Oryctolagus cuniculus: one gene and its partner. The protein of the gene in region 1 interacts with the protein of each later gene in a pairwise test. Links are inferred from orthologs where the notes say so. Each region holds a gene or a part of one and is shown on either strand. Other genes may lie near its edges.

Evidence for each region. The genes of interacting proteins can lie anywhere in the genome.
Region 2: the proteins of OPRM1 (region 1) and GJA4 interact in binary tests that used the Homo sapiens proteins (3 or more experiments, as listed by UniProt). The link is inferred for Oryctolagus cuniculus from reciprocal best matches to the Homo sapiens genes OPRM1 and GJA4.

Annotation. Positions count from the first base shown.
Region 1 is NC_091436.1:13,655,204-13,660,558, forward strand, and holds the start of OPRM1 (mu-type opioid receptor), read right to left. Parts: upstream 3,665-5,355; 5' UTR 3,532-3,664; coding exon 3,239-3,531; intron 1-3,238. UniProt on the Homo sapiens protein: Receptor for endogenous opioids such as beta-endorphin and endomorphin. Receptor for natural and synthetic opioids including morphine, heroin, DAMGO, fentanyl, etorphine, buprenorphin and methadone.
Region 2 is NC_091438.1:137,811,015-137,816,220, reverse strand, and holds GJA4 (gap junction alpha-4 protein), read left to right. Parts: upstream 1-1,765; 5' UTR 1,766-1,890; exon of another isoform or gene 1,891-2,066; intron 2,067-2,939; 5' UTR 2,940-2,956; coding exon 2,957-3,958; 3' UTR 3,959-4,465; downstream 4,466-5,206. UniProt on the Homo sapiens protein: One gap junction consists of a cluster of closely packed pairs of transmembrane channels, the connexons, through which materials of low MW diffuse from one cell to a neighboring cell.

The DNA.
Region 1 (5,355 bases):
AGATAATAGCATTTGGCACTCTTCAGTGGAAGGAAGGTTTACACAGCCTTCAGTGATCCAAATGCTTCTCACCCTTTGATTTCTTCGACAACATTTGTCCATACCATGTTCTTAGGTACATGGACAAATCTTTTTTGAAAACAACTCATGAAATGAATGCATCTGGTATTATGTTAGTTTTTTATGGGAATGGCTACTTCTATACTTTGATCAAATGTATTCTGTTAGTGAAGTATCTCTGGTACTGTGTGTACTATTTTTATTCACTTTTTCTTTAAGATTCTAGGCAAAAGCATTCTATTATCCAATTTTAAATAAGTGCTACTTTTTGTACTATTTGTATTATTCTGTTTTCCAAAAATCATTATCCTACAAACATTTTTCTCTTTAAAACTAAAACCACTTTCAGGCATGGCTACTAAAATTTTGTCATTTAACATCTGGTGCTTAATTTTCTACATCATAGGGCAGTGTGTCTTCCACTCTTACATCACTTAGGATAGCACTGTATAAGAATCCCTTTTACTTAATACCAATTACGTTGCTGATGAAGGTATGATAATGATGGCGTCAAGAGACACACAACATAAAAGCATCAGTCACAGTATGTATATTTCCAGCTGTTTATGTTGCTGTTGTCATAGTCATCTGAACTTCATGATTTACTCAATGCACTAAGACATTCTAATCTTAATCTGTTCACAAAACTAACAAGATGATCATTTACTAGTGCTCTGGATTTTAAATAGTGAGAGGAAGTGAGCATTTCTCTTCAGTACTTCAATAAAGGCAGCATTAAGCCATCTTGTTAGTAGTTAGTAATATCCCTGAACTCATCAGTTGATAGTTAAAACTTTGGAGTGGAGGCAGTCAGTTAAATAATATCAGATAAACTGACACAGTTTCTTCCATCCTTAGATGCTCTTCCCATCACATCATTTGTCATTGAACTGCCTAGTTTTCTGTTTCACAGTCAAATCCTCAGAGGGTTATCTGACCTTGGAATTAAACACTCAACCTACCACAGGTGGATGTTTGGGGTGACATTTAAAAGAGTACTGCATTTTTTTCAGAACTTTCAGTACAGAGAAGAAAGCATAATATCACGTTCTCAGTAAGATGCAATGTCACCATGTTTCTCCAAGTCAACAAGGAGCCAGAAGTAATGCCTTTAAAACAAACTCACCCAAGTAACAACCTCTTAAACACTGGAATAAAGCCAATCTGTTTATTTCACAGCCTATTTCTGTGCTATTGGATGTCTCCTTATAGCAGAGAATAAACTAGAGGGTGGGGGGAGGGAGTAAAATGCTAAGGAGAAGCAATGAAAGGGGATAAAAGATCATGATTCAGATGGTGGAGTTTATAGATGTCTCAGTAATTTATATCGTGTTTTTTGCTCCAGGATTCCATAGATATACATTTTTGATAATTTATTGTTCTATCATTATTACTGCTGACTAAATCTACTCTGTCAATCTAGTAGTTGGCTAATTTAAATCATGGTTTGTCATCTTAACAAACAGAAAATTATGCTAGCTAAGATTGGTTCAGTGGTATCTTTTTTCAACTTTTTTATTTATATAAAGTGAACAAATTTCATGTATACACATTTATGAGCATAGTGATATCTAAGAGGAATCATTTATATTTTCTTTACCTTTTATTCACAGAGCAAAGATAATCTGTAGTCATTCTAGTTTTATCAGTCTATGTGATTTTTAAAGGGATAAATGAGAAACATTTTCTTTTTTAAGAGTAGACCTTCAATTATACTTTTTATTGTCGTAATTGCAGAATAAGACTAGTTTTTTCTCTGATATGAATTTTTTATTGAATTACAGAAAGCAGTTTTTTTTAAAATAAATTCTTTCATTGATTCTTTTCCTGAAATTTTCCTTCTGTTGTTAGCTGTCCACTCAATAGATGGTGCTCTTTTCTCAGAGACACTTTCTTATTTTATTGCTTATCAAAGTATCAGGGAAATTAGCTTTACTTTTTAACAAACATTAATTAAAGAAATCAGGCATATAAATAGGACAAGTCAATTACAAGCAATTTGCAGCACTTTGCTAAGGAAAGCATAATGGGAACAGTGATTATTTGTTAAAGGATTCAAGTACTCCACTGAAACCTGCGAAATACTTGCTGAATAGGTGAAGCAAACACTGTAACTAAATATGAAAATGACACATTGGCTGCATACCTACAACCCCCAATGGGAAGAAACAAGCCTTACTAAGGAACTATGTTAAACAGCTAAAAATATTTGTTTACTTCTTAAAAAGTGAATATTTAGTATTCCACATTCACATGATGTGTTTGGTATACATATCAAGACCAACACAAACAACATCAATCTCATTCAATATTGAAAATTTGCTCACCCCTTGTCTAATGAAGCTGGAACATCTGGGAAACAGACAGTAAACCATAAATTCTTTCGAAATAATTTTACTAAAGACACATTTTCTTTTTCCCAGAGTGCCTATGACAACTTCCTATGTAACAGTTTCTAATGGAGAATTATGATGGGTCACTCTTCATCTGTTCCAATGTGTGGAGACACTGAAAAACAATTCTGTTCTCCTGAACCACCCTACCCACTCAAGATGCAGCTTGCAATTGCTGTAGCAGAACCACAGCTGTCAACTGCAAAGGGTGGAGGTAACAAAGTGACATTACCAGGGAGAGATACCAGGAAAACTTCCTCTGCCTCATGTGGCCTTAGGGTGGAAGCAGGAATAGGTACACGTGAAGATCAGGGGTGGGGCTGTCTACAGAGAAGTCCTCCTGTACCAGCAAAAGTAGGAAAGTTGCCACCTGAGTGGACTCAGCCTCCCAATTCGGAAAAAAACACACCTAAACGTCCTCCCCCATTCTTCACAACTTATGATGCCATAGCTCTTGCAAAGGGAGCCACCGTAGGACTCTGTGCCAAGAGTTTTCTTGTCTCTGTACAAGGGAGAGCTTCAACATGAAGCATTTTCCCCCAACTCTCACCCCCAGAGCTTTATGCCTTTTATCAAAACAGCTTCTCTGTTCCTGAATTTTTGGATTTTTTCTTTACCAGTGGAAGAAAAAAAATAGAAAAGTAGCTCCCCATCCACAAACACACACAGCAACCGCTCCATCTGGGGTCGCCCCCAACCACACGCTTAGTCTTGGGATGCAAGGGCCTTTTGGGAGCCCTTTTAGCCGCTGAACTCCCCGTTCACAGCCCTGGCGCCCTCCTTACCTGATGATCACGTACATGACCAGGAAGTTTCCGAAGAGACCCACCACGCACACGATGGAGTAGATGGCCATGATAGTGACGGCTGTGACCATGGAGGGACTGCCGGTCGGGGGGCACAGGCCGTCGCGTCCGCCCAGTTCGGTGCGGTTCGGTCCACACGGGTCGGACAGGTTGCTATCGAAGTGGGACAAATTGACCCAGGACCCGGGGCTGGGTGCTGGGGAGCAACTGGAGGAGTGCGCAAAGGGATCAGTGCAATTGCTTGCGCTCGCTGGGACGGCGCTGCTGTCCATGGTGCTGACGGCGCTGGGGAGCGGGAGGCCAGCTAGTCGGGAGCCTTGGGACTCGGACTCTGGGCGCTTCAGCCACTGGCTCTGGCCACGGCGGCCGCAGCTCTTTGCGGTTTCTTACCGGGACCAGCCTCGCGGAGCCAAAAGCAGCGTCAGGCAAAAGGCGACAGCGGAGCGTCTGACATTATCCTCTGCTGGTGGCCCCTCCCACCTTCGTAGTACACAGAGGCTCATCCCAACCCGGCACCACAGGGCTGAGGAGGGCAAGGCAGGCGGTGCGGGCTCCGCAGGCTGGAGGGGAGGAGGAGGGGGGAGGTGGATTTTGCGCAAAGCAATCGGAGGAGTTGGTCCTCACCCTTCGCGCTCTTGAGAGCAAACACCTCGAGGGCGGGCGGAGCTGGAAGGGAGCTGGAGGGGAGGGGTGGCCAGAGAGGAACAGAGCTACTTTTGATAGCAGGGAAGCATAAACGAGGGGGCTGATAGATCTCCATTTTTCCAGCGCCGGTTTCTCTTTTTAATCTACGAGGAAAGACACTGGCACGCTATAACTCTAACAGCCCTTGAGCCCCAATGCCCTTCCATCTCTATGGCCCACCACAATTATTGGAGGTAGGGGGCACAAGATCCTCTTTCCTCTACATCGCCTCATCTGACAGAAGACAATCATGTCTTTGAAATTTCCAACTCTACAAACCTGTCTGTACCCAGAGAGATCCTTTATTTATTTATTTATTTATTTATTTTCATAGAAAGGATCTCTATGAAAATAAATAAATAAATAAATAAACTTTGTGGAAGAAACCTGCTCCCTTTATTTTTCATTGTTTCAGTTTCTCTAAGAATAGATGTTCCATTTGCATCCTTCCATAGAATTAGGTAGATTGTGACATGCAAAAAAGTCAACTGAAGATATTACTGATCCACATCTGAGGTCTCCAAGACCCTTTCAGAATGATTATACATTCCATCTGCGAACATACCAGATAGGCGTATACTTTTCAGAAGAAGGCTGTTAAACCCAACAAATTTTGTTTTATTTCATTCCGTTTTCTAGTGTAGACATTCCAGGAGGAAGTACATAAACTTCTGCGCTTGGAGTAGCCCACAAAATGTTCTCGAGGAACAATGATACATTAAAAAAATTTGTATTCACTTTTAAGTCCGTGAGCTCTTCCAATTAAAAAAAATGTAAATACAGTAAGAATATTATTTGTAAAAAACCAACACTAATTCTGCAGTAATTCTCATTTCTGTGCATGAAAATATCTTTTAGCCATAAACACTGGAAATAAATATTCCCAATTGCTGATGGAATAACTGCAGTGTTTTGTGAGCAGGGAAGAGGGAAACCTGAAATCAGCTTTTAATTCCAATATTACTTTTAGGCCATCTGTCTTGAAAACAGATAACTCAAAGGTAAGCTGTATTAATCATAGGAGATATTGCCAATGTTCAGTGTTATTTTTATACTTTATTATTAAAGGGTGTAATTTCAGCAATAAGTTCTTTTATGAAGACTAGTAAAAATGCCTAAAAACATTATAGACTTTGATTTAATGTGTCATCTCATTTGCGCTGAGCTCTGCTATTCATTCTGTCCTTTGAGGATCCATAAAACCAACACATATAAACTTCAAATGGAGGACAAGTAGGCATGTGGAACTGAAATCCTGATATGGGAGGCAAATCATGTTGTGAATGAGCTTTGTCACTTTTTATCTGTATGAATTTGGGAATGTTACTTTACCTTATGGAGAGACAGTTTTCTCCTCAGAGTAAGAATTTGAACTTTATGCTTCAACCATATATTCACAACCAAGATTGGTG
Region 2 (5,206 bases), on another chromosome or scaffold:
TGCACCACCGCATGTGGCTGCTCTCACTGCCACACACCATTGCAGATGGCCGCTCTCAGTGGCCTGGGGCTTGGAGAGCTCAGGTCTTGCCCTGACGGCCATTGGAAGCCATGGAAGGGCTTTAAGCAGAGTCACGGTCAGATTTCTGGGAAGAGTGGAGGCTGGGTGGAGGGGTGGTCTAGAGGCCAGGAGCTCAGGTGGGAAGCCCCTGAGATGGCCGCCTCCTGGACAGGTCGGGGACATGCAGGGTTCCGGGTGGACTGGCCTGGTTGTGGGGAGGGTCCTCCCAGTGGATCCCAGCTCCTTCTTCCTCTGGGGAAAGTGCTGGGCTATTCAAACGCTGGCCTCCACAGCCGCTGAGGACGTGGTCAGTGCAGTCTTGACGTCACCCACCCCCCAGCCCCCGCCTGCCATCTGCTCCCACCCAGGAGATGGAAGCAGAGAGCCCTGTGGAGAGCCAGCCCCAGCCCCAGCCCCAGGAGAGGAGTCAGGCGCAGAGGCTGCTATGGGGGCGGGGCGGGGCGGGGCGTGGCGGAAGCCAGCCTCCAGGGGCCTTTGTTCTCACGACCTCGGAGGTCAGAATTGAGCAGGCACGAAGTTGTCAGCTCTGCAGATCCAGAACACTCCATTTGGCCTGGCCCAGAGGGAGAGGCCTGGGAGGGAAGGCCCCCAGGAGCAGCCAGCCCTGGAGCTCTGGGTCCAAGCCCACCCTACCTGCTGCTCTACACACCCAGCAGCTGGGCTCTGCCACCAACCCCTGGCCCCGACGTCCACCTGCCACTGGCTTCCCCGGCCCCCATCGAGGGCTCCTCAGCTCTCTCCCAGACCAACTCACAGATCCTTTGTTGCATTTTGCCACAATGCTTCCAGATTTCACTGGTGCCATCTCCCCACACCTGTGCCACACCATGGGCTTGCATCTCCCAGCAACTCCTGCGCCCTCCACAGAGGAAGAAACAGGCCCAGGGCACAGAAGTCAAGAGCAAAGCCGCAACCTCTGGGCTCCCCGCCACCTTCCCAAGGCCTCACAGCCCCCAGCCCTCTGGCCCTTCCCCGGGCACCTGGCCAACAGCCTCCTGCACCAATATCCCCATCCAAGCCCCTGAGCCCCTGCGACTCTCCTGGAACCCTGGGGAGAACTACCCACGTGTGAATCACACCCTCCCGCCAACCATGATCTCAGTCTGCACCTGCCTGGTTAGCGGAGGGATTGCTAGAGGCCGGGTTTGGCCCGCGCACCCCCAGCTGCACGCTGCGTTCCCACGGCCCGCCCCACCCTCTTGCCCCATTTAGAGGTGGAGAGGGCTGGAATTCAAGATGAAGATCAGGAAGCCCCCAGCCGTGACCCTCCAGGGAGGTGCTCAGTGGCCTCTGGTTGTGTGCCCTGCCAGGAACCGGGACAGTCCCGAATTCGCCGCTGCGGCTCTAGCAAGGGGAGTGCACCCCGGTTTCCCATCGTGGTCCCCAACCCCAAGCGCTAAGGAGGAAAGTCCCGCGCACAACTGGCAAAGGAGTAGCCCCAGCACGCGCGCATCCCCTTCTCACGCTGTCGGGCCAGCGCTTCCCGTCCAGCCAAGGAAACCGAGCGAGGGGACTGCGCCGCCGTCGGGAATACGGGACTCGGGACTCGGAGACCTCAGCGGAGGCGCGGGGCGGGGACCCCGACTCCGGGGGCCACCTCCGGGAGGGGTGGGTGCGGGGCGCCGCACCTCCCGGGCCAGGCCCCGCCCCGTCTCTCCCCAGCGCCCCACCGCCCTCCCCCGCGTTTCCTGCCCCACACCCCCGCCTCCGTGCTATTTAAGGCGCCCGTGGCGCGGTCCCGCAGGGCTCCCGCGGGCGCCGCTCCGCCGTCGTCCCCACCTGCACCTGGGCCGGCCCGGCAGGCAAGCGGTGAGTGGCGGACGGGGGACAGGGTGGTGCAGCCTGCCCGCGGGAGGTCGGGTGGCACGCAGAGAGTTTCTGCCCTGGTGCCCACGGGCCGAGAAGCCCGGAGGGGAACCGCCCAGGCTCTGTGTCCAGAGCGGGTCCTCCCTGTTTTCACAAAACCCGGACCCCAGCCCTAGAAGGTAGGAGGATGGCTGCTTCCATTTCCCGGGAGAGGAGACGGAGGTGTCCACTAGTGGTGACTTTACCCCAGGGCCCAGTTAAGAGAGAGAGCACGCGCGGGGTGCTAGGATTTGAACCCAGGTCTGCCTCCAGAGCCTGGCCAGAGAAACAGCTTGCTTAGGGAAAGAGGCGCCTGGCCCCCAAGATGGCCTGGGAACTCTGTGACCTTTGTCTTAGCCCTGCAGTGACAATCCTTGGAGTCTGGAGTTGGAGGTGGGGTAGGCCTGGGGGTGGAGGACGAGGATGAGGGTTGCAGGTGAACCATGTTGCTGGCAGGTGGAGCTGATGCGTGATGCTGTGCCTTCCACTGGGAATGCAAAGGTGAGATTGAGGCCAGCTGGGGGAGAGGTGATAGGGAGAGAAAGACCTGAGGCTTGAGCCTAAGAGCCATGCACAACACCTGCGCGCCCCCACCTCCCCCTGCCCCTGCCCTGCGCCTGGGGGAGGCAGCGTCTGGCAGAAGGGAGAAGAGACATAGGCCAGCTGGGTGGCCTTGGATAAGATTCTCAAATTCTCTGTTTCCCCGAAGTGAAGCATCCTCAACCCACTTCAGATCTGGGACTCTGGTCATCCTGGGGCTCTGGCTGGGGACGAGAGGGGACACATGTGTCGTTAGATAGGGCCTCTGGCCGCACCTACCACCTAGGGACTCAGAATGAGGGCCTGCAGAGGACTTGGCAGCCGTTGTCCGAAGCTGTGCTTTGGGTCCTGATGGCCCGCTGGGTGGGAGCCCAGGCCTGTCCTGCTGCTCCCTGAGCCTGGGTTTCCTTGTGGGCTCGTGGCTGAGACAGGTGGGCAAGGGTGGCAGGCTGACACTCCCTGTGTCCCCACAGACGGTGGCCCGGGAGCCATGGGTGACTGGGGCTTCCTGGAGAAGCTGTTGGACCAGGTCCAGGAGCACTCGACGGTGGTGGGCAAGATCTGGCTGACGGTGCTATTCATCTTCCGCATCCTCATCCTGGGCCTGGCCGGGGAGTCGGTGTGGGGCGACGAGCAGTCAGACTTCGAGTGCAACACGGCGCAACCGGGCTGCACCAATGTCTGCTACGACCTGGCCTTCCCCATCTCCCACATCCGCTACTGGGTGCTGCAGTTCCTCTTTGTCAGCACGCCCACCCTCGTCTACCTGGGCCACGTCATTTACCTGTCTCGACGCGAGGAGCGACTGCGCCAGAAAGAGGGGGAGCTGCGGGCCCTGCCAGCCAAGGACCCGCAGGTGGAGCGGGCGCTGGCAGCCGTGGAGCGTCAGATGGCCAAGATCTCAGTGGCGGAGGACGGCCGCCTGCGCATCCGTGGGGCGCTGATGGGCACCTACGTGGCCAGCGTGCTGTGCAAGAGCGTGCTGGAGGCGGGCTTCCTGTATGGCCAGTGGCGCCTCTATGGCTGGACCATGGCGCCCGTGTTCGTGTGCCAGCGTGCACCCTGCCCCCACCGCGTGGACTGCTTCGTGTCTCGCCCCACAGAGAAGACCATCTTCATCATCTTCATGCTGGTGGTCGGACTCATCTCCCTGGTGCTCAACCTGCTGGAGCTGGTGTACCTGCTGTGCCGCTGCCTCAGTCGGGGGCTGCGGGCACGGCAGGGCCAGGGCGCCCCCCCAGCCCAGGGCACCGCCTCAGACCCTTACGCCGACCAGGTCTTCTTCTACCTCCCCATGGGCGAGGGGCCCTCATCCCCACCGTGCCCGACCTACAACGGGCTCTCGTCCAGTGAGCAGAACTGGGCTAACCTGACCACCGAGGAGAGGCTGGCTTCCTCCAGGCCCCCCCTGTTCCTGGACCCACCCCCCCAGAGTGGCCGGAAATCCCCCAGTCGCCCTAGCAGCTCGGCTTCCAAGAAGCAGTATGTGTAGGGGGTTGGTGCTGAGGCTTCTGTCACCCAGCAGAGGGATCCTGAGCCGGGTGGTTGCCTTGGATGTCCCCTCGGCCAAGGCTCAGCGGAGAGGACGGAGCTCGGAAACCCAGAGCTGGCTGGCCGGTCATTCTGGAACGCTCGGGCCATCCTGGTGACCGGAGGGCACGGTGGCTTCCTCTGCAGAATGTGGCTTTGTCACAGGCACAGACAGAGCTGGCCCGGCCTGCCTTTGGCCAAGGGTGCCACGTGGGCCCTTTGTTCATTTTCACCTGGTCCAGAGGGACCCAGAGCCAACGTTTGCCCCACCCCCACCGGAATCTGCCTGTGCCTGGGCTGTCCGCACGCCCTTTGCTTCCAGGCAAAAGCTGCTGGGTCGGCCCTGACCACACAGCCAGACAGAGCCTGTGCTGGATCTGGGCCTGTCGACAGGACTGAGACCTTGTTCCCATCACTCCTTCCTAGTTCCGCTGTTTATGCTTGGAAAATAAACCGGACTTGATCAGCAGTGAGGTGTGTGTTGCGCTGTGAAGACGTGCCTTGGGGCAGGGGCTGGGGCTGGGGCTGGCTTGTTTCGCCCCAGATTCCTTCTCTTCTTGCTCCTGCGTAGTCTGTCTTTGGTCTCTGCTGCCCCAGCCAGCACTGTACACGCTCAAAAGTCGTGCATTCTGCCTTCCCCAATGGCCCCGAGTCCTCCTGTAGGGCCTCAGGCTCTGTCCTCTTGGCCCACCTGGTGCTGTGGTCATCAACCTGCCCAGTAACTGGCGGCCAAAGCAGTGTCCTTCCCGTCCTGACCCAAACCCGGTTGGTGCCCCTGCCATGCTGGCCCCTGCCAGGCGCCTTACTCCGCAAGCACATCTTCCAGCCACACCTTTCACCATCCGACCCAGGTGCACCCATGCACCCACCTCATCCTGGGGCCCTTGGTTTGTGTCACTGTCCTCCTGACCGGGGCGGCAGAAGGAGCAAATCCCCACCCCGTGCACCCAAAGCTCAGTGAGAACAGACGAGGGGACCATGCTGAGGGTGTAGGGACTGAGCCTGGCTCAGTGACCAAAGCTGCAGGAGCAAAATGAAGAGCTGAACTGGATTGTGGTGGGGGTCAGTGGGAGCTGGCTGGGGCAGCAGGGAGACGACATGGGCTTTGAGCAGAGGACACTGCCTTGCAAGGCCCTGTGGAGGGGAATGGTGCAGGGCACTTGGAGAGCACAGGAGGCGTGACGGGGGCTGAGCCTAGAGTTGGCCACGC